3 linked regions of the Anolis sagrei genome follow. The protein of the gene in region 2 purifies or fractionates together with the protein of the main gene of each other region. This does not show direct contact. Links are inferred from orthologs where the notes say so. Each region holds a gene or a part of one and is shown on either strand. Other genes may lie near its edges.

What was found.
Region 1: the proteins of TSEN2 (region 2) and TSEN15 purify together in Homo sapiens (affinity purification with mass spectrometry; 4 studies listed by BioGRID and IntAct, counting the BioPlex papers as one, with this or other methods). This does not show direct contact. The link is inferred for Anolis sagrei from reciprocal best matches to the Homo sapiens genes TSEN2 and TSEN15.
Region 3: the proteins of TSEN2 (region 2) and TSEN34 purify together in Homo sapiens (affinity purification with mass spectrometry; 3 studies listed by BioGRID and IntAct, counting the BioPlex papers as one, with this or other methods). This does not show direct contact. The link is inferred for Anolis sagrei from reciprocal best matches to the Homo sapiens genes TSEN2 and TSEN34.

Annotation. Positions count from the first base shown.
Region 1 is NC_090024.1:122,177,999-122,185,992, forward strand, and holds the start of TSEN15 (tRNA-splicing endonuclease subunit Sen15), read right to left. Parts: upstream 3,051-7,994; 5' UTR 3,013-3,050; coding exon 2,842-3,012; intron 1-2,841. UniProt on the Homo sapiens protein: Non-catalytic subunit of the tRNA-splicing endonuclease complex, a complex responsible for identification and cleavage of the splice sites in pre-tRNA. It cleaves pre-tRNA at the 5' and 3' splice sites to release the intron.
Region 2 is NC_090022.1:64,428,050-64,435,966, reverse strand, and holds the start of TSEN2 (tRNA-splicing endonuclease subunit Sen2), read left to right. Parts: upstream 1-4,691; 5' UTR 4,692-4,837; intron 4,838-7,917.
Region 3 is NC_090026.1:19,085,187-19,092,351, forward strand, and holds the start of TSEN34 (tRNA-splicing endonuclease subunit Sen34), read left to right. Parts: upstream 1-4,029; coding exon 4,030-4,279; intron 4,280-6,778; coding exon 6,779-7,050; intron 7,051-7,165. UniProt on the Homo sapiens protein: Constitutes one of the two catalytic subunit of the tRNA-splicing endonuclease complex, a complex responsible for identification and cleavage of the splice sites in pre-tRNA. It cleaves pre-tRNA at the 5'- and 3'-splice sites to release the intron.

The sequences.
Region 1 (7,994 bases), on a different chromosome or scaffold from region 2:
GGCATGTAGCGTACCTGGTTTTCAGTAAGGCCTTCGACAAGGTCCCCCATGACCTTCTGGCAAGGAAACTAGTCCAATGTGGGCTAGGCAAAAGTATGGTGAGGTGGATCTGTAATTGGTTAAGTGGACGAACCCAGAGGGTGATTCTCACCAATGCTTCCTCTTCATCTTGGAAAGAAGTGACAAGTGGATTGCCGCAGGGTTCCGTCCTGGGCCCGGTCCTGTTCAACATCTTTATTAATGACTTAGACGAAGGGCTAGAAGGCATGATCATCAAATTTGTAGACGACACCAAATTGAGAGGGAGAGCCAATACTCCAGAGGACAGGAGCAGGATTCAAAACGATCTTGACAGATTAGAGAGATGGGCTAAAACTAACAAAATGAAGTTCAACAGGGACAAATGCAAGATACTCCACTTTGGCAGGAAAAACGAAATGCAAAGATACAGAATGGGGGACAATGCCTCGCTCGAGAGCAGTATGTGTGAAAAAGATCTTGGAGTCCTCGTGGACAACAAGTTAAACATGAGCCAACAATGTGATGTGGCAGCAAAAAAAGCCAATGGGATTTTGGCCTGCATCAATAGGAGCATAGTGTCTAGATCTAGGGAAGTAATGCTACCCCTCTATTCTGCTTTGGTTAGTCCACACCTGGAATAGTGTGTCCAATTCTGGGCACTGCAATTGAAGAGAGATGTTGACAAGCTGGAATGTGTCCAAAAGAGGGTGACTAAAATGATCAAGGGTCTGGAGAACAAGCCCTATGAGGAGCAGCTTAAGGAGCTGGGCATGTTTAGCCTGAAGAAGAGAAGGCTGAGAGGAGATATGATAGCCATGTATAAATATGTGAGAGGAAGTCACAGGGAGGAGGGAGCAAGCTTGTTTTCTGCTTCCCTGGAGACTAGGACGCGGAACAATGGCTTCAAACTACAAGAAAGGAGATTCCACCTGTACATGAGGAAGAACTTCCTGACTGTGAGAGCCGTTCAGCAGTGGAACTCTCTGCCCCGGAGTGTGGTGGAGGCTCCTTCTTTGGAGACTTTTAAACAGAGGCTAAAGGCCATCTGTCGGGGTGCTTAGAATGCAATTTTCCTGCTTCGTGGCAGGGAGTTGGACTGGATGGCCCATGAGGTCTCTTCCAACTCTAGGATTCTATGATTTCAATGGCTTCTCTGTGTAGTCTGACACACAAAAAACCACAGCAACCCAGTGATTCCAGCCATGAAAGCCTTCGACAATACACTAAGTATCTTTGATAAGAATACAAGGCTGTACTAGATGCCACCAAAGTCCTAGCAGTATACTATTCCCAACCAGAAGTACCTGTTTCATTCTACATCTATATAAATAAAAATGTAATGTTCATTTGTGGGATTAACAGAACTCAAAAACCACTGAACGAATTGCCGCCAAATTTGGACACAAGACACCTAACAACCCAATGTATGTCCTTCACACAAAAAAAATGATTTTGTCATTTGGGAGATGTAGTTGCTGGGATTTATAGTTCACCTACAATCAAAGAGCATTCTGAACTCCACCAACAATGGAATTGAACTAAACTTGGCACACAGTTCTCCCATGACCAACAGAAAATACTGAAAGGGTTTGGTGGGCAGTGTCCTTTGGTTTTGGAGTTGTAGTTCACCTACATCCAGAGATCCAATGATAGATCTGGACCAAAGTTGGCACGAATACTCAATATGCCCACATGTGAACTCTGGTGGCGTTTGGGGAAAATAGACCTTGACATTTGGGAGTTGTACTTGCTGGGATTTATAGTTCACCTACAATCACAGAGAATTCAGAACCCCACCAACAATAGAATTGGGCCAAATCTCCTACACAGAATCCCCATGACGGCCACAGCAGCGTGTGGCAGGGGACGGCTAGTCTATATAAATAAAAATGTAATGTTAGTTTGTGGTATTCACAGAACTCAAAAACCACTGGACAAATTGACACCAAATTTGGACAGCATACACCTAACAACCCAATGTATGTCCTTCACTCAAAAAAATTGATTTTGTCATTTGGGAGTTGTAGTTGCTGGGATTTATAGTTCACCTACAATCAAAGAGCATTCTGAACCTCACCAACGATGGACTTGAACCAAACTTGGCACACAGGACTCCCATGACCAACAGAAAATACTGGAAGGGTGTCCTTTGGTTTTGGAGTTGTAGTTCACCTACATCCAGAGATCACTGTGGACTCAAACAATGATGGATCTGGACTACACGAATACTCAATATGCCCAAGTGTGAACACTGCTGGAGTTTGGGGAAAATAGAATCTTGGCATTTGGGAGTTGTAGTTGCAGGGATTTATAGTTCACCTACAATCACAGACCATTCTGAACCCCACCAAGGATAGAATTGGGCCAGCCTTCCCACAGAGAACCCCCATGTGGGCCACAGCAATGCATGGCAGAGGACGGCTAGTACATTATAAAATCCATATTACATGCTTTGAACTTGATTATATGGCAGTGTAGACTTATATAATTCGGTTCAAGGCAGATAATGTGGATTATATGGAAGTGTATATGCCAGCTCTGGATTCGGAAACTGAATTATGTCAGTGTAGATCCAGCCTGAGTCTGCACTACTCATATAATGCAATTCCAAACTGCATTAGATGGCAGTGTTGATGGGGCCCTTCCAAAGGGACAAAATTGCCTCCAGCCATTGAGCACGGGAAAGCAGATGCTAATGTTGGTGGAGCAGGCATCAAATGAGATTCCATGACATGATCCCACCCCTCTGATATTGGAATGAAATCGGGCCATCCACACGCATAGTCATAAACGGTTTCATCCCGCCCTATCCTTGCTCACCGCAGGATGCACTTCTAGCCAGCTCCCTCCCGGTGCCCACTGCGCAGGCGCCGCGGCTCCCTGCTCCTCTCCTTCCTCCTGCTTCGCCAGACCAGGGAAGCCGAAGCCTCGCGCCGGGGGAGCCTCGTCCCCGCTGCCGCCGTGCCCGCAGCTGCTCCCTGGCGCTTCCATGCTCGAAGTGGGTGTGTCGCGGCTTCGCTCCGGCGGTGCCTCGACATTCTAAGCCCCCGCGGAACATGCGCACGGGCTCTAAGGTTCCGATTTCACCTCTCGGGCTCTTACTTCCAGGCTTTGAAGGACTTTTTCAAGCACCGAGGGGGCAGGTCATTGCCATTAGAAGTGGTGCGTCCCCGGAACAGCAAAACTATAACATATGCAGCCTCCCTCTGAGTATTTCCTAATCAAAATTGAGGGGGAAGCCGTTTTTATTATGCACTAGCTGTCCCCTGCCACGCATTGCTGTGGCCCGGTCTGGTGATCTGGAAAATAAAGTAATGAGAAAGTGTTGGTTTCTAATATATGTAATGTCTCTCTGCTTGTGAGTAAACTAAACAGTATTTCTTCTTGTTTCTTTGTCACTGTTGATGTGGAGATTGTGTGATTTGCCTACTCTGTAACATGTAACATATCATTGTCCTTCTTTAGGGGTTCCTCAACATCTACACAAATGACCAGCCACTGCCAGAAGGGACAGAGAGTTTCATCTATAGGTTCTTGTGGGTTTTTTCGGGCTATATGGCCATGTTCTAGAGGCATCTCTCCTGACGTTTCGCCTGCATCTATGGCAAGCATCCTCAGAGGTAGTGAGGTCTGTTGGAACTGGGAAGGGGTTTATATATCTGTGGAATGACCAGGGTGAGACAAAGGACTTTTGTCAGTTGGGCTAGGTGTGAATATTTCAACTGACCACCTTGATTAGCATACAATGGGCTGACTGTGCCTGGAGCAAACTCTTCTTGAAAGGTAATTAGATGTTCCTGCCTGTTTCCTCTCTGCTGTTTTTGCTGTTGCAATTTTAGAATTTTTTAATACTGGTAGCCAGATCTTGTTCATTTTCATGGTTTCCTCCTTTCTGTTGAAACCTGGATACAGCATTTTATTTGAGAACACAAAAATGCTGGACCACTCTCACAACCACCATGTCAGACTACACAGAGAAGCCATTGAAATACACAAACATGTGGACAATTTCAACAGAAAGGAGGAAACCATGAAAATGAACAAAATCTGGCTACCAGTATTAAAAAATTCTAAAATTGCAACAGCAAAAACAGCAGAGAGGAAACAGGCAGGGACATCTAATTACCTTTCAAGAAGAGTTTGCTCCAGGAACAGTCAGCCCATTGTATGCTAATCAAGGTGGTAGAACAGAAGCTTTCCGAAGCTCTAGATGCTCTTACTGCCTATTACAGGGAAAACCAGCTGATCCCCAACCCATCTAAAACACAGACATGTGCCTTTCATCTCAAGAACAGACAAGCATCCCGAGCTCACCTGGGAAGGAATCCCACTGGAGCATTGCAGCGCAGCCAAATACCTGGGAGTCACTCTGGACCGTGCTCTGACCTACAAGAAGCACTGCCTGAACATCAAGCAAAAAGTGGGTGCTAGAAACAATATCATACGAAAGCTGACTGGCACAACCTGGGGATCACAACCAGACACAGTGAAGACATCTGCCCTTGCGCTGTGCTACTCTGCTGCTGAGTTTGCATGCCCAGTGTGGAACACATCTCACCACACTAAAACAGTGGATGTGGCTCTTAATGAGACATGCCGCATTATTACGGGGTGTCTGCGCCCTACACCACTGGAGAAATTACACTGTCTAGCCAGTATCGCACCACCTGACATCCGTCGGGAAGTGGCAGCCAATAGTGAAAGGACCAAGGCAGTGACATCTCCAGCTCATCCCGTTTGGGTACCAGCCAGCACGTCAACGACTTAAATCAAGAAATAGTTTTCTAAGATCTACAGAGACACTCGCTGGAACACCTCATGTTCAGATGGAATCTCCTCTCCCGTAGTTTGAAGCCATTGTTCCTTGTCCTAATATCCAAGGAAGCAGAAAACAAGCTTGCTCCCTCCTCCCTGTGGCTTCCTCTCACATATTTATACATGGCTATCATATCTCCTCTCAGTCTTCTCTTCTTCAGGCTGAACATGTCCAGCTCCTTAAGCCGCTCCTCATAGGGCTTGTTCTCCAGACCCTTGATCATTTTAGTCGCCCTCCTCTGGACACATTCCAGCTTGTCAAGTAGTACAGGACAGCTGGATTCCATCCTGCATGTTCTTCTGCACTGCCCACTCTACCAGGAACCAAGATCTAGCTTGGTACTACAAGTTATAGATTCTATGAAAAGCCATACCGACCCAGACAAAGTAATTATGCTTTTAAACTGCCAAGATTTTAACTGATGTCTCAGTGGCAACGTTCCTGAATGAAGTCTGTAAATTGAACGTGTAACAAATGTGAAATTCCCTAATCAATAATTTATAGTGTACTAGTGGTCCCTTGCCACGCGTTGCTGTGGCCCAGTCTGGTGATCTGGAAAATAAAGTAATGAGAAAGTATTGGTTTCTAATATATGTAATTTTTTAATGCTTGTGGGTAAACAGTATTTCTTGCTGTATCTTTGTCAGTGTTGATGTGGAGATTGTCTGGTTTTCTACTCTGGAACATGCAACATATCATTTTCCTTCTTTAGGGGTCCCTTTCAAATCTATGGTACTATATCTGTCATAAACGTGTGTGTGTGTGAATCAAATATATTTATATCTATGGCTGGATGGTTCTTTGTCATGAGGGCTTTATGTTTTCTTGCTCTGGTGAAAGGAGTTGGACTGGATGGCCTTAAGGCAGCATTTCTCAACCTGGAGTTTGGGACCCCTGGAGTGGGTTGTGCTCATTGGAGGCATCTATCTTCCTTCGCTCAGCCTTCCCTATGGTCCAGCTCTCACATCCGTAGGTGACTATGGGGAATACCATTGCTTTAACTATGCGGAGGGGGTGTCAGAAGGGTCACCAAAGACCACCAGAAAACACAGTATTTTATGTTGATCATGAGGGTTCTGTGTGGGAAGTTTGCCCCAATTCTGCCGTTGGTGGGGTTCAGAATGCTCCTTGATTGTAGGTGAACAACAAATCCCAGTAACTACAACTCCCAAATGTCAAGGTCTATTTCCCTAAAACTTCATCTGTGTTTATATTTGGGCATATTGAGCAGTGTGAGCTTCCACTGTCAGCCCCAGCTTCTGCCAACCTAGCAGTTCGAAAACATGCAAATGTGAGTAGATCAATAGGTACCAGTCCGGCGGGAAGGTAACGGCACTCCATGTCATGCCAGCCACATGCGCTTGGAGGTGTCTATGGACAATGCCAGCTCTTCGGCTTAGAAATGGAGATGAGCACCACACCCCAGTCAGACATGACTGGACTTCATGTTGGGGGAAAAACCTTTATCTTTACCTAAATGTGTATAACTTTACAGTCTAACTGGAATCACTCCTCTTTAAAGAATCTTGCAATGATTTTCACTAAAACTTTCCTTGGGACCACTGGATGAGTTTTTGTCTACATTTGGGCTCAGTAGTCAGAATTATCTCTTAGAAATTGTTTTCTATCCGATAGATCTGTCTATCTAATGATTATAGAGAACTGGGAGGAGGGAAAGTTTAATTTTTATTGCAATTTTGAGACTCCTCGGTTGATTTATCCAGAGGTATTTAGAGCCCAGGTGTACTTTGGCTACAAACCCAGATTATCTTCCTGGCACACTAAGAGCTACAGTCCAATATGCACTTTCTTGGATGTCAAGCACTATTTGATTTGACAGTATTTATGTCTGAGCAAACATGCATAAGATTGGACTGTGCATAGCCTGGACTATAAGTGGTAGATTGCTAAACTTGCCTTCCAGTAAAAAAAAAAAAATGGAGATGGGCAGTTCTGATTGGGGATGATATTCCAAAATATTTGGGAAATGGCTGGATTTTTTTAATGTTGTTTATTAGTTCCTGGGTTGCAGTTAAACATAAAAAAAACAAGATTATGGCAACAAGAATGATTGACAACTGCGAAATAGAGGAAGAAAATGTGGAGACAGTGACAGACTTTGTATTTCTAGGTGCAAAGATTACTGCAGACACAGACTGCAGCCAGGAAATCAAGAGACACTTACTTCTTGGGAGGAGAGCAATGTCCAATCTCAATAAAATAGTGAAGAGTAGAGACATCACACTGGCAACCAAGATCTGCATAGTTAAAGCAATGGTATTCCCTGTAGTCACCTACGGATGTGAGAGCTGGAACTTAGGGAAGGCTGAGCGAAGGAAGATAGATGCCTCCAATAAGTAGTCGGGCTTTATTTCCTGGAGGATGGACTGGTTGGATCTTCTCGCTGTCCAAGGCACTCTCAGCACTTTCCTCCATCATCACAGTTCAAAAGCATCTATCTTCCTATTTCTTTTTTTTTTCAATTAATTTTTTTTTAGTTTGTTCATTTGCAATTGTACATGTAACAAAACCAAAAAACCGGGCACAGAATGTTGGAAGCAGCAAAGAGAGGGAGATGCAATCCAAACCACTCATGAGATAGATTTATAACTTTGCAAAAGATACTATCCAGCCACAAAGCTAAATTCTTTGTTCCTGCTATTTTCCTTGCCCCTTGCCTGCCTTAGCTAAGTGAGTGATGGTGGTACATCTTAATATTTATTATTATTATATTTATTTACAGCATTTATATTCCACCCTTCTCACCCCGCAGGGGACTCAGGGCGGATTACAGTGTACACATATATGGCAAACATTCAATGCCAATTTTAACATACAACATATACAGACATACTCAGAGGCTATTTAACTTTTTCTGGCCGCCAGGGGAGCTGTCGCTTTCATCGTCCATCTGCAACACTGATGAAGCACTTCCGCACTCCCCGCATGCTTTTTTTGCTGGAGTGCTTTGCTGGAGTCTTTTTTATGGCCTCATAAATTAGTTAATTTAGCCTCCCCACACTTTAAGGTGGTACCTAATTTTCCTACTTGACAGATGCAATTGTCTTTCGGGTTGCAAAGGTCGACAACAGGCTACACAATTGGTTGGAAACCCACTCCAACCTGGGCTGGCTTCGAACTCATGACCTTTTGGTCA
Region 2 (7,917 bases):
GCAATATACCCTCGGAATAGCTCTCCCGGCACGTACAAATGATGTGCCAGGAGAGTGGGGAGCGATTTTCCCTCCTCCCCCCCCCCCCCCCGGCGCATCATTTGTACACACCGGGAGAGCTTCTCCGAGGGTATATTGCAGGACAGGTAAGTTTTTTTACCTTTTCAAAAGGGTCTGGGGGTTTGGGGGGAGGGGTGGGTATTGCCACAGTTTACCAGGTTTATTTAGCCCAGTAAATTGTGGGAATGGTGTCTGGATTGTAGCGAATTAATTGTAGCGAATTAATTCTGGACTGTCCAGAACATTGTCTGGACAGCTCCTCCTTTATTGCGGTAGATACCACAATAAAGATCCTATCTGGACGGGCCCTAATATAACCCAGTTCAAAGCAGATATTGTGGGATTTTCTGCCTTGATATTCTGGGATATAGGGTTGTGTGGAAGGGCCCCCAGAATATCAAGGCAGGGTTATCTGAGTCCACACTGCTATATAATCCAGCTCGATGTGGATTTTATACATCTCTGTGGGAGGAGCCTTTATGATAGCATCCAGAAATCCTCAAAAATAAAAACTGAAAATGTGGCAGGGCAACTGGACTTGATTAAGGACAATCTATATAAATCAATATAGAGCAGCTATGGGCAAACTTTGGCCCTCCATGTTTTGGACTTCAACTGGTAGGCTGTTAGGAATTGTGGGAACTGAAGTCCAAAACACCTGGAGGTCCAAAGTTTGCCCATGCCCGATATAGAGCCTTAGTTGTATGTTAGCCATGAATACTGTTGATGACATATAAAGCTAGGACAGTGGTAATTGATGGATTGATACATATCTGCAAGGTATTTGGCTGTCAGTGAATGACAAGTTCGCGGAAAGGAAAAGGAGAATTGCCTTGGGTAGAAAGTCCTTTCATGCCTTTCACATTCGTGCTGCCATGCCACTGTGGCATCCCAGGTGGGTCTAACTGCAACCATTTCCAAGCCCTTTTGTCAAATGCGACCCAAAGGAGGAAGTTCATAATTTATGCTCCCAGGCATTGCCCTTGCTGCAGCAGGGCTGACAAAGGATTAACCTTGACAATGGTTTTTATCACTCTGGAAGGAAACAAACTCTGAGTCCAGAAGCTGACGAACTGCTGTCAACTGAAACTGAACTTGTTGACACACATTTATTTCCAGCAACAAATTGGCAGTTAATGGTTCTAAGGGCAATAAAGGACAGTCTCCGGCACTCACAAGTCTCTTTAAATGGCTGCATATACAGTAACTAAAATGACTTCATTGTTACAGATGGGTGGGGAAAGTTTTTATTTTAGGCAGAGTTAAGAAGGTTGTAATAGCCATATTCTCACTTCCTTCCTGCACTAAACATTAGTGTTTAAAAGGGATGTGGCTTTAAAAAAAACCTGGAAATATCCTTTTCTGAAAGCCTTTGCTTTTGCATAAAAAGTAGCACTTTTGAGGATAGTTTATTTCAACATTATTGCTTTTTCAGTTTTGCAGAAATATGAATTGAAAATTGTAGATATTCCTACTGCTTTTTAAAGGGTTGTTACATCATCTCAGGGGATTTTTTTTAAAGCTTCCATCTCATAGTTTTAAAATGTCATGCATGAAGAGCAGTAGAGTTGTGCTGCAATATGAGATATCAGACCCTTTGACCATAAAATACCTGGGAAACAGGTGCCCTCCTGGTCTATGCAGCACGATGACATGATGCTGTGGTGAGTAATGCCAAAAAGAAAGGGCAAAAGCAACACAATGACTATGGGACTTCCACACAGCCCCTCATCCCAGAATATCAAGGCAGAAAATCCCACAGTATCTGCTTTGAGCTGGGTTATTCAAGTCCACACTAAGTTAAAGTGGGATTTTCTGCCTTGATATTCTGGGATATTGGGCTGTGTGGAAGAGCCCATATTTCAGAGACATATGTGACAAAAGTCCCTTCTAATGTGGTGTCATCTGCAAATTTGAAAGACATCTCTCTATTCCATCAACCAGGTAATTGATAAAGATGTTGTCTAGCCCACATTTTACCAGTTTCTTTGCTAGAATAACGAGGGGAAACCTGTTGAAGGCCTTGGTGAAATCAAGATAAATAAAACTGTAGATACGAGTCCCACAGTTATGAGGATTGGCCTGTATATCATCAACCTGCAAATCTCAGGCCCCTTCTACACTGCCATATAAAATCAAGATTTTGTGCTTTGAACTGGATTATATGGCAATGTAGACTCATATAATCCAGCTAAAAGAAGATAATGTGGATTTTCTGCTTTGATGATCTGGATTATATGGCAATGTAAAAAGGGCCTCAGTATGCCATAGGATGCCACCCCATTGATCGTCAGGGTTGTTATATCAATTAACCTGAGATCAAACTGCTATAACTCTAAGGTGTAGAAACCCTCTAAGTCTGAGCTTTCCAAACTGCATGTCACGAGATGTTCATTGTGTTGACTGCAGCTTGTAGGTGTGTCAGGTAAAAGTAACAAGTCTATGTAAAATCAGCAATAAATCATCTTTTTATGAATATCAATGAATATTTTGCACAAGATATGTTGTGTCCCCATATATTTCATTGTTACCATTTATGTATGTGTCCGAATCTCTTATAAGGGGTTGATTTAATCTCCGGTTTGCTAGTAAATCTTAGTTTACTGTGTTGCAAAATTGTGACTGTCTAAAAAGTGTGTCATTAGCATGAAAAGTTTGGAAAGCTCTGCTCTTAAGTGTTTGAAACTGAAACCAAACTACGGAAGCACAACAAAGTGCAATAGGAATGATCTTGTTGTCTTTATGGTAGATGAAGACCTTTTTAAATATTAGATATTTTTTTACTCCCATTCATTGGGAATGTTAGATATGGTTTATTATGGGGGGAAGGGTCTGTGTGAGAGATTAAAATGAGAACAACAGTACTTTAATTTATTTGTTGGATTTATATCCCCCCTTTCTCCCAGGATGAGAATGCCTTTTTGCAGGTCGAAAGGACAGGAAACTCAAACGTCAATGTGAAAGTCAAATGCCAGGGAGACCTTTTTTCATGAAGGACCAAAAGAAAAAGAAATAAACTATTGATTTTAAATTTACATTTTACAGGGTGAAGCAGCATAACTTCCTTTTTTCAAAACTTAATAGAACTCATTGTATGAATCAGAAAAAAATTATAATGTAGGCACATACCTAAAGTTTTGTTTTACGTAGTATGATGGCACACCGGGAAGGTTTGATGAGAAAACTATATGTGTCCGGCTATTTTCCCAGTGACCATCGGTATGCCCTGTATTTACTTTAATTTCCCCAAAATAAAACTCTAGAGACAAGACTAAATTGAACCAATTAGGTTTACTGAACAATCAAGGTGAATCAAAACAAGGTATGAAGGTGCAGTTTGATTCTTGATGGTATAGAATTAGAATAATAAGGAACAGTTATAAGTAGGTTGGTGACGTCCCCCATTCTCCGTACACTGAGTAAACTGATTTCTGGCCTTTGTCGTGACTCTTGCCAGCATAGCAGGCGTTATGTTGGCAATTTCTTCCTGGATGTTGGTCTTCAAATCTTGTAGGGTCCTTGGACAGGTCACATAAACACAGGATTTCAAAAAACCCCATAGAAAAAATCACAAGGGGCCAAATCTGGAGAGCGGGCCGACCACTCCAAATCCGCTCGAAAAGTAGGCCTCAACGGCAAAAGTTCTACTGTTTCACTGCTCCAACGCATGATGGCGACTGAACTGTGTCACGACAAAACTTTATACTCCCACCTCTCAAACGAGACCACTAGCACTCTGCTACGTCTTCAACCGACTGAATGGCGTGCATTTTAAAAATGGAAGTTATGCTGCCTCACCCTGTATTATTAGTAAAGGAAAGGTAAAGGTTTCCCCTTGATATTATGTCTAGTTGTGTCTGACTCTGGGGGTTGATGTTCATCTCCATTTCAAAGCCGAAGAACCAGCATGGTCCGTTGACACCTCCAAGGTCATGTGGCCGGCATGACTGCATGGAGCGCTATTACCTTCCCGCCAAGACGGTACCTATTGATCTATTCACATTTGCATGTTTTTGAACTGCTAGGTTGGCAGAAGCTGTGGCTAACAGTGGGAGCTCACCCCACTCCCCAGATTTGAACCACCAATTTTTCGGTCAGCAAGTTCAGCAGCTCAGTGGTTTAACCTACTGTGCCACCAAGAGACCGTACATTTTATTAGCATTGGTGTTTTAATCTCTGTTCTTTTTAATATACATATTTTTATCATCCTTTGTTCTGTTTATATATTTCAACTATGTTTACGCCCCACTTGGAGCCATGAGAGACAGGTAACAAATGAAACTTATTATCATTATTATTAATAGTAGCAGTAGCCTTGTAAAACTACAACTCCCAGAATCCCAAAGCATTGAGCCATGGAAGTTAAAGTGGTATCAAAGTGCATCTACAGAATAGATGCAGCCTTCCTCCCGGATAAATGCAAGACCACAAATCGCTTTGCACTAGCAGGGGTTTCCAACCAGGTTCTTGGGACTTCAACTCCCAGAAGCCCCAGTTTGACTGGCTAACTCTCAGGAATTCTGGGAATTGGAGTCCAAAGGCTGACAACCACAGCGTTGACAAAGCACCTGCTATTTTTTACCCCGGAGACGGAGCATGCGCGGGAGGCAATGACGTCAGAGAGAGACCGACTCCATTCTGATCTGTTTAAGGAAACCAGAAGCGCTTCCTTCTTCCGTCGCCGCCGCGGAGCCGGGGCTGCCCTTCTTCCGGTTTCCCTCGCGGAGGGGAGGGGCAGGCGGGGGAGTCCGGCCTCGTTTCCGCTGCCTGGAGTGAGGTCAGTGCCAGAAGCAAGGGAGGCGGGAAGCCATTCGTGGGAAAAGGCCAGAGAGAGGGATGAAGCGCATCTGTACTGCAGAATGAGTGCAGTTTGATCCCACTTTAACTGCCCTGCCTCAGTGCTATGGGATCCTGGGATTGGTAGTTTAGTGAGGCACCATCTCTCTTTGGCAGAGGAGACTGAAGAGCTTGTGAAGCTACCACTCCCAGGATTCCATAGCATTGAATCAGTGTCAAACTGCGTTAATACTGCAGTGTAGATTCACCCTTGGGATGCTGTACTTGGGCGAAAAGGGCATCAGGAAGAGGGCAGGACTTCCCTGGTGTTTTGAGCTTTTGGGTTCTCTTTCACAGGGCAGGTGGAGTGTCCCTCTCACCTCAATATTTTGGGCTGGGATTTAAGCTTTTCTTCCTCCAGATTTTAGAATACCTGTATTTGCATAAAGGTGCACAATCTTGGAAATTGGACCCAATTCTAAACACAAAATTAATATTTCACATATAACTTATTCACATTCTCTGGAGGTAATTTTATGCACACTATTTGTTAATGATTTTGTCCATGAAACTAACTTTGCGCCCACTGAAAGGGAAGGTATCACTATCTCAGCCACTCGATGCATTTTGGAGTAATTCAAAAACATGAACGAATTCCAGTGCACATTGCAAATATTTATTTATTTATTTACTGCATTTGTTGACCGCCGTTCTCAGCCCTAGGGCGACTCACGGCGGTGTACAACATATAAAAAGACAATTTACAATGAAAGCAATATCATAAACAACAATAACAACATCACTATTAATAATACCATTACACTAAATCATTCGCGACGTCTCATCATAGAATCACAATCCAATCTCGTTATCCATATTCCGTTCCACTCATCATTGCCAATTTGCTGTAGCACTTAGTCAAACGCCTTCTCAAACAACCACGTCTTTAGGCTCTTGCGGAATGTCATAAGGGAGGGCGCCTGTCTGATGTCTACAGGGAGGGTGTTCCACAGCCGGGGGGCCACCACCGAGAAGTCTCTATCCCTCGTCCCCGCCAGGCATGCCTGTGAGGCAGGCGGGATCGAGAGAAGGGCCTCCCCAGACGATCTCAAGGTCCTCGTGGGCTCATAGGCCGAGATGCGGTCAGATAGGTATTTTGGGCCGGAACCGTTTAGGGCTTTGTAGGCCAACACCAGCACCTTGAATTGGGCCCGGTAGCAGATCGGCAGCCAGTGGAGCTGGGACAACAAGGGCGTTGTGTGCTCCCTGCGTCCTGCTCCTGTTAGTAACATGGCTGCCGCGCGCTGGACTAGCTGGAGCTTCCGGGCCGTCTTCAAGGGCAGCCCCACGTAGAGAGCGTTGCAGTAGTCAATATCTTATTTGTAGTGCAAAATAGGAGCCCCCAGTGGTGCAGGGGGTTAAAGCGCTGAGCTGCTGAACTTGCTGACCGAAAGATTGCAGGTGCGAATTCAGAGTGGTGTGAGCTCCCGCTGTTAGCCCCAGCTTCTGCCAACCTAGCAGTTCAAAAGCATGCAAATGTGAGTAAATCAATAGGTACTACTCTGCAGGAAGGTAACAGCGCTCCATGAAGTCATGCTGGCCACATGATCTTGGAGGTATCTACAGACAACATTGACTCTTCGACTTAGAAATAGAGATGAGCACCACACCCCAGAGCGGACATGACTGGACTTAATGTCAAGGGAAAACTTTTACCTTTAGCCTACTGCAAAATAACATAAAAGATAACAATATTTTAAAATGAACAATTTTAACCAACATCAGCTTACCAGCAGTTCAACTGAGCAGTTTGAAAACATGCAAATGTGAGTAGATCAATAGGTACTGCACTGCAGGAAGGTAACAGTGCTCCATGAAGTCATGCTGGCCACATGACCTTGGAGGTGTCTACGGACAACGCAGGCTCTTCGACTTAGAAATGGAGATGTGCACCATCCCCCAGAGTCGGACACAGCTGGATTTAATGTCAGGGGAAAACCATTACCTTTATCCTAGTGCAAAATAATGGGAAGTGTAGGCCTGCTATTGGCTGATGAGAAAGTCAAGTTAATAATAATAATAATAATAATAATAATATAATAGCTTTATTTTTATACCCTGTCTCCATCTTCCCGAAGGGACTCGGGGCGGCTTACAAAGGATCAAGCCCGAAAAAACTCAGATTAAAACACAGTGCAATAAAGTAAAATAAAAAAAATAAATTCAAAATATCAAAAATAAACACATCACAATAACACAACACAACATCATAAAAGCAATCCGTAGACTGAACAGTAAAAATACTAAACTCAGAGGGCTAAGAGTTTGTGCAATAGTTTCTGGATAGGGCTAAGGGAAAGTTCAAAATCCGCATGTCGTGGACTCCACTTTGTGGCCCCATTTCATAAGGTTGGCTCTGCATCTCATGGTGCCACAGCGCCACCACTAGGCTTAGGGTGACTCTAAGTCTAAAGTTTAGGGTGAGGGCTGGGTAAGTGACCTTGGAGGTGACCCTGCTCTAAGAGCTCATCCACACTTGACTTACTGCCGTTTGACAACACTTTAGCTGCTTTGTTCAATATTGTGGAATCTTAGAAGTTGGTGTTTTACAAGTCCTTTAGCCTCCTCTGCCAAAGGGAGCTATTGCCTCACCAAACTGCAAATCCCATTATTCCATAGCATTGAGCCATGCTAAAGTAGTGTCAAACTTCACTAATTTTATAGTGCGTAGATGCACCCTTTGCCAGAGCAATGTATTGCCTCACCAAACTATAAATCCCAGAATCGGCAGCCATGGTGGATAAAAAGGAAGCATTACTGTGAAAGGAGGGTCTATTTGCTGCAGAAGAGTCAGATTTGCCCTTGGAATCTGCTGAGGTTTGATTCTAGGGGCCCCTTGGGATTGCAAAATACTGTGGGTGCTCAAGTCCCATTGTATACAGCAGTGGTTTCCAACCTGTGGTCTGTGCACCACCAGTGTTCAGCAAGAACCAAAATATGGTCCACAGCCTCACCTTTACTACACTGCAAGGAGAGTGACTGGTCTCGCAAAACCCTCTTATAGTGCTGAGGTTTATTAAA
Region 3 (7,165 bases), on a different chromosome or scaffold from region 2:
GGAGGATGAACCATGGATGATGGGACTTGCGGTACCACCACTCACATTCTGAGACCGCTGTTAACCTCATCCAATGACTAATCAGGACCAAACTCCGCACATAGACCTCTCATGACCCACTGTACGTCCTGGTGTGGTTTGGCCGGCGATGGACCGTGGATTATGGGACTTGCAGTACCATTGTTCAATTCTTCAGACCACTGCAACCCTCATCCAATTACCGATAAATACCAAACTTGGCACACTGAGTCTCCATGACGCACTCTACATCCAGGTGCAGTTTGAAGGAGGATGCACCATGGACGATGGGACTTACAATACCTAAACTCCCTTCCTAAGACCATTACAACTGCCAACAATGATGGAACAGAACCACAATTTACACTAAGAGCCTGCATGACCCACTCTACATCCTGGTGCGGTTTGGAAGAATTTGGCAATGGATGATGGGACTTGCAATCATTTCACTCACTTCCTGAGATCACTGTGACCCTCGCCAATGACTTATCAAGACCAAACTTGGCAAGCAGAGTCCCCATGACCCACTCTACATCCTGGTGCACTTTCGAGGAGGAGAGACCATGGATGATGGGACTTGAAGTACCTCCACTCCCTTCCCAAGACTGCTGCAACCCTCATCTAATGTCCAAACAAAACCAAACTTCGCACACAGAGCCCCCATGACCCACTCTACATCCTAATACGGTTTGGAGTAGGGCATGCCATGGATGATGGGACTTGAAGTACCTCTACTCGCTTTCCGAGACTGCTGCAACCCTCAACAATGATTGAACAACACCAAACTTGGCACATAGACCTCTCATGACCCACTTTATGCCCTGGTGAGGTTTGACTGTGGATCGTGCATGGATTTTGGGACTTGCAGTACCTTCGCTCAATTCCTGAGACCACTGCAAAACATTATCCAATTTCCGATAAGGACCAAACTTGGCACACCGGGTCTCCATGATGCACTCTACATCCTGGTACGGTTTGGAGGATGATGCACCATGGACAATGGGACTTAGAGTACCTTCACTCAGTGAAACCACTGAGACCCTCATCCAATGACTGATGAAGACCAAACTTGGCACACAGAGCCCCCATGGCCAACTCAACATTCTGGTGAGGTTTGGGAGAGAACAGACTATGGATGATGGGACTTCAAGTACCTCCACTCACTTCCTAAGACTGGTGCAACCCTCATGTAATGACCAATCAAGACCAAACTTGGCACACAGAGCCCCCATGAGCGACTCTACATCTTGGTGCTGTTTGGAGGAGGACGGACAATGGATGATGGGACTTGCAGTACCTTCACTCACTTCCTGAAACCACAGTGACACTCATCCAAATACCAAGAAAGACCAAACTTGGCACAGAGAGCCCCCATGGCCAACTCAACATTCTGGTGATGTTTGAGGGAGACTATGGATTATGGGACTTGCAGTACCTTCACCCATGTTCTGAGACTGCTGTGATCCTCATCCAATGACTGATCAAGACCAAACTTAGCACACAGAGCCCCCATGACCCACTTTACGTCCTGCTGCAGTTTGAAAGGGGATGGACTTTGGGTGATGGGACTTGCAGTACCTTCACTCACTTACTGACACCACTGCCACCCTCATCTAATGACTGATAAAGACCAAACTTGGCACACAGAGCCCCCATGACACAGAGCCCTATATCCTGCTGCTATTTGTAGGAGGATGGGCCATGGATGATGGGACTTCAAGTACCTTCACTCACTTCCTGAAAATAATGCAGCCGTTATCCAAAGACCAATAAAGACCAAACTTGGCATACAGAACTGCCATTACCCACTTTCTCTAATAACCCGGGCAACGCCGGGTCCCCAAGCTAGTAAATAAATAAAGAGGAAGCATTGGTGAGCACTCTTTGGGTTCGTTCACTTGACCAATTACAGATCCACCTAACCGTAGTTTTGCCAAGTATTTCCCAACTATGAATAACACTAGTAAACAGTGACAGTAAATCAAGGATCAGAACTTAAAATTCATCATTCAGGCATCCAGAAAAGTAAATTGTTGTCTTTTTTTCAATCCACATAATCCTTGGTTTAGTAATTTTTGAGATTTTTAACAGCAGGGCAAGATTTTTATAGGGAATTCCCAAATGACTGATGAAAAAAAGGAACTCTATCCACCAAATTCCTCAAGAGGCTTGAAAAAAAGAGAGAAAATAGCCCCGTCGTCCCACAAGAGGATGAAAAGTGTGCCAAATGTCTTTGTGTGGCCTTTAGAAGGTATGTTGTCATACAGCTCTTGAGAGTATGGCTTAACAATGATGAGGCATATTATTGTTCTCCCCTGATCTTAGCTCAAATAAGTACAGGTTGGGTGTCCCTTCACCAATATTTGGAAACACAAAATACTCAAAAATTGGGGAGATGTCAGCTTTGCTTTCAATGTACACAAACTTTGTTTTGTGCATAAAATCGTTTACAATATTGCGTATAAAATATAACTCCCTATATCAGCGTTTCTCAACTTGGGGGGTCGGGACCCCTGGGGTGGTCGTGAGGGGGTGTCAGAGAGGTCACCAAAGACCATCAGAAAACACAGTATTTTCTGTTGGTCATGGCGGTTCTGTGTGGGAAGTTTGGCCCAATTCTATTGTTGGTGGGGTTCAGAATGCTCTTTGATTGTAGGTGAACTACAAATCTCAACAACTACAACTCCCAAACGTCAAAGTTTATTTATTTTTATTTATTTATTTCAATTACTTCTACCCCGCCCTTCTCACCCCCGAGGGGGGACTCAGGGCGGCTTACAAACGAAGGCACAATTTGATGCCTATATCACATTATACAAAACATACAAAAACAGTTTAAGCAAAATTAACTGGCTATGGGCCTGATCCTGCATATCAGATATTTACATTACGATTCATAACAGTAGCAAAATTAGAGTTATGAAGTAGCAACGAAAATAATTTTATGTTTGGGGGTCACCACATCATGAGGAAGGTTGAGAAACACTACCGTGTGTGTGTGTGTGTATTGCAAATATTCCAATATTTGAAATCCCAAATAATTCTGGTCTCAAGCATTTCAGTTAAGGGATACTCAATCTGTCATCGAGGGCAGCGGAGACCCCGCCTTCAAGTTGGTCTGACATGCAGCGGAGAGTTCCGCAGTTCCTAGAAGCCACAATTGGGACAAACTGATGAAATGTGCCCCAACAGACAGCTCAAACTGGGACTGCACTCAGCCTCTGGGCCTTCCTATCACTTTCCCCCAAGCCCTAACATTGTAACTATACATTATATGATCAAATCTGGAAAAAATCCCAGTTGAGATGCATCCACACTGTAAAATTAAGGCAATTTGATAGCATTTAAACTGCCATGGGTCAATACTATGAAATTATGGGATTTTAGTTTGGGACAGTTTGATAGCATTTAAACTGGCTTGGTTCAATACTATGTAATCATGGGATTTGTAGTTTGGAGAGGCAGAAGCACATTTTGGGGGAAAAATGCAAAAGCCCTTGTAAAACTACAACTGACAGGATTCCATAACATTGGGGGCATCTGCACTGTAGAATGAATGCAGTTTAATTGGTATGGAATCACTGGACTTGTAGTTCTGCAATGCTTTGCAAACTATAAGTCCTTAGTTTCCATAGAGAGCAAACTATAAGTCCTTAGTTTCCATAGAGAGCAAACTATAAGTCCTTAGTTTCCATAGAAAGCAAACTATAAGTCCTTAGTTTCCATAGCACTGAGTCATGTTAGTTTAAAGCGGTGTCAAACTGCGTTAACCTGACAGTGTAGATGCTCCCATCTCCCAGCCTAGGCCTTTGCTTGTAAATCCCTCCTCTCTCTCTTTTCTCTGCCCTCTCCCCTTTTCCCAAAGAGATCCTACACTCGACCCGTGCTCTCACCTTTTCAGGAGAAGCCTTCCCAAACACGTGTAGCTTGCCCGATCGTGGGAATGGGTGGAAGAAAGCGGGCAGGAGCCCACGAATGCGTGCAGGAGGGTTTTAGCCTCTTGCAAAAGCCATGCCTGGGATGGACCCAAGCCTTGCAAAGACCGCCTGCCTCTTCCTGTCTGCCTCGCACCGTTTCCTCTCCTTTGCAGTCGCTGCTGCTTGGTGCAAATGCTCCCCTTCTCTGCCTTCCTTTCCTTTCCTCCTCCGCTCCTTTCTTCTGAATCCACTCCGCAATTTCCCTATCGCCCGCCTTGAAGGCTCCCATTGGTCCAGCCTCGCATCGCTCCAGTCCCGGGAAGGACGCAAGAGGAGTTCAAAGGGTAGGGCGACCTGGATTGAAACCGGTTTAAGAGCGGGTGTGGAGAGCCCAAGAATCGGGGTTTCGCTGGAAACCCCTATATAATGCCCTCCTAATATGTTGGGACTACAGCACCCATCATCTGCTAGCTGGGGGTGATGGGATTTGTAGCCACAACACTTCTTGTCTTTTTTGTTGTTGTTCCATGTGCTTTTAAAGCACTTTTTTTTGAACAATTCTGTTTCATTGTGTTGGACTACAGTACCCATTAGCTGATGTCTGGGGAAGATGGGATTTGTAGTCACAACACCTCTGGGTTTTTTTAATTCCATGTGCTCGTTTGGAACAATTCTATGCTTCATTATGTTTGACTATAGCACCCATTCGTTGCTGTCTGGGATGATGGGAGTTGTAGTCACAACACACCTGACTTTTTTAGGTTCAATGTGTTTTTTAAAGTTTTCGTTTTTTAAACTATTCTATGTTTAATTGTATTGCACCACAGCACCCATCAGTTGCCGGCTGTGGACGATGGGAGTTGTAGTCACAACACATCTATCTTTTTCGGTTCTATGTGCTGTGTTTTTAACTATTCTATGTTTAATTATATTGCACCACAGCACCCATCAGCTGCCGGCTGGGGATGATGGGAGTTGTAGTCACAACACATCTGTCTTTTTTGGTTCTATGTGCTGTGTTATAACTGTTCTGTGTTTAATTGTATTGCACTAAGCACCCATCAGCTGCTGGCTGGAGATGATGGGAGTTGGAGTCACAACACATCTAACTTTTTTGGTTCTATGTGCTGTGTTTTTAACTATTCTGTGTTTAATTGCATTGCACTACAGCACCCATCAGCTGCCAGCTGGGGATTATGGGAGTTGTAGTCACAACACATCTTTTTTGGTTCTATATGCTGTGTTTTTAACTATTTCATGTTTAATTGCATTGCACTACAGTACCCATCAGCTGCCGGCTGGGGACGATTGGGAGTTGTAGTCACAACACATCTAGCTTTTTTGGTTCTGTGTGCTGTGTTTTAACTGTTCTGTGTTTAATTGCATTGCACTACAGCACCCATCAGCTGCCGGCTGGGGACAATGGGAGTTGTAGTTGTAGTTCTATGTTTAATTGTGTTGCACCACAGCACCCATCAGCTGCCAGCTGGGGATTATGGGAGTTGTAGTCACAACACATCTAGCTTTTTTGGTTCTATGTGCAGTGTTTTAACTGTTCTGTGTTTAATTGCATTGCACTACAGCACCCATCAGCTGCCGGCTGGGGACAATGGGAGTTGTAGTCACAACACATCTAGCTTTTTTGGTTCTATGTGCTATGTGTTAAATTGCATTGCACTACAGCACCCATCAGCTGCCAGCTGGGGACGATGGCAGTTGTAGTCACAACATATCTATCTTTTTTGGTTCTATGTGCTGTGTTTTTAACTATTCTATGTTTAATTGCATTGCACCACAGCACCCATCAGCTGCCTGCTGTGGACGATGGGAGTTGTAGTCACAACACCTCTTTTTTTTTTGGTTCTATGTGCTGTGTTTTTAACTATTCTGTGTTTAATTGTATTGAACTAAGCACCCATCAGCTGCTGGCTGGGGATGATGGGAGTTGTAGTCACAACACATCTAGCTTTTTTGGTTCTCCGTGCTTTTAACTATTCTATAAGACCTCATCACTAGAGAATGAATCCACTTTAAATCCGGCAGAATTCTGGGGTTTGTAGTTTAGTGAGGAGCCTTTAACAGCCTCACTATAATACAAACCCTGGAATTCTGCAAGAGGTAGAAACCAGATTTTAAGTGTGATGAAATAGTATGTTAAATTGCATTGGAATAAGCACCCATCAGCTACTGGCTGGGGATGATGGGAGTTGTAGTCACAACACACCTGGCCTTTTTGGGTTGTTTCATTTCATTTTAAGTATTTGTTTTTAACTATTAAGTTTCATTGTGTTGGTTCATTACACCCAGCTGGGGATGATGGGAGTTGTAGTCACAACATCTCTTGACTTTTTTGGACTTCAGGTACTGTAGAATTGAGGCAGCTTGGCACCACTTTAATGGCCATGGATCAATGTTATGGAATCTTGGAAGTTCTAGTATTAATTTTACAAGATCTTTAGCCTTCTCTGCACAATAGTGTTGGTGCCTTCCCAAACTACACATCCCATAATCCCATAACATTGAGCTATGGTAGTTTAAGTGGTGTCAAACCATGTTCCTTCTACTGTGTAGATCAGGCATGGGCAAACTTGGGCCCTCCAGGTGTTTTGGACTTCAACTCCCACAATTCCTACTGGCTGTTAGGAATTGTGGGTGTTGAAATCCAAAACACCTGGAGGGCCCAAGTTTGCCCATGCCTGATCTAGGTCCTCGAACGCAACTCGTATTAATCATTATGCAAACAATCAAATCTGCAAATGTGGAGGGACAACTGTCACCCTCACCTCAAAGACAATTAGTGGTATGATGCTTTGTGTATTTTGATCCTCTCCCTTCTTCTCAAGGAGACATGCATCCAGGCCCAGACATGATCCGAATTCACATCCTGGAGGGAAAGGCTTTGGTGTGGAATTACGCTGATGCATGGCGCATCCGAGAGGAGCATCGCATAGTTGGCACGCTGTTTGGGGCATTGGCTCGGAAGCCACGCCAGAACGTGAGGCTGGGGCTTCCTCTGCAGTTGCTCCCGGAAGAAGCCCGGCTGCTGCTGGAAAACGGCCTGGCAATCCTGTGTAAAAACCCAGCATCCCCAGCCCTTGGGGAGGATACAAGCCAGGTGATAAGCCATCACAGTATTGCTCTTTAGAGAGGAAAACATCCCAAACCTTGTGATTTGTTTTTTATCATGTCAGAAGTGACTTGAAAATATACTGCAAGTTGCTTCTGGTGTG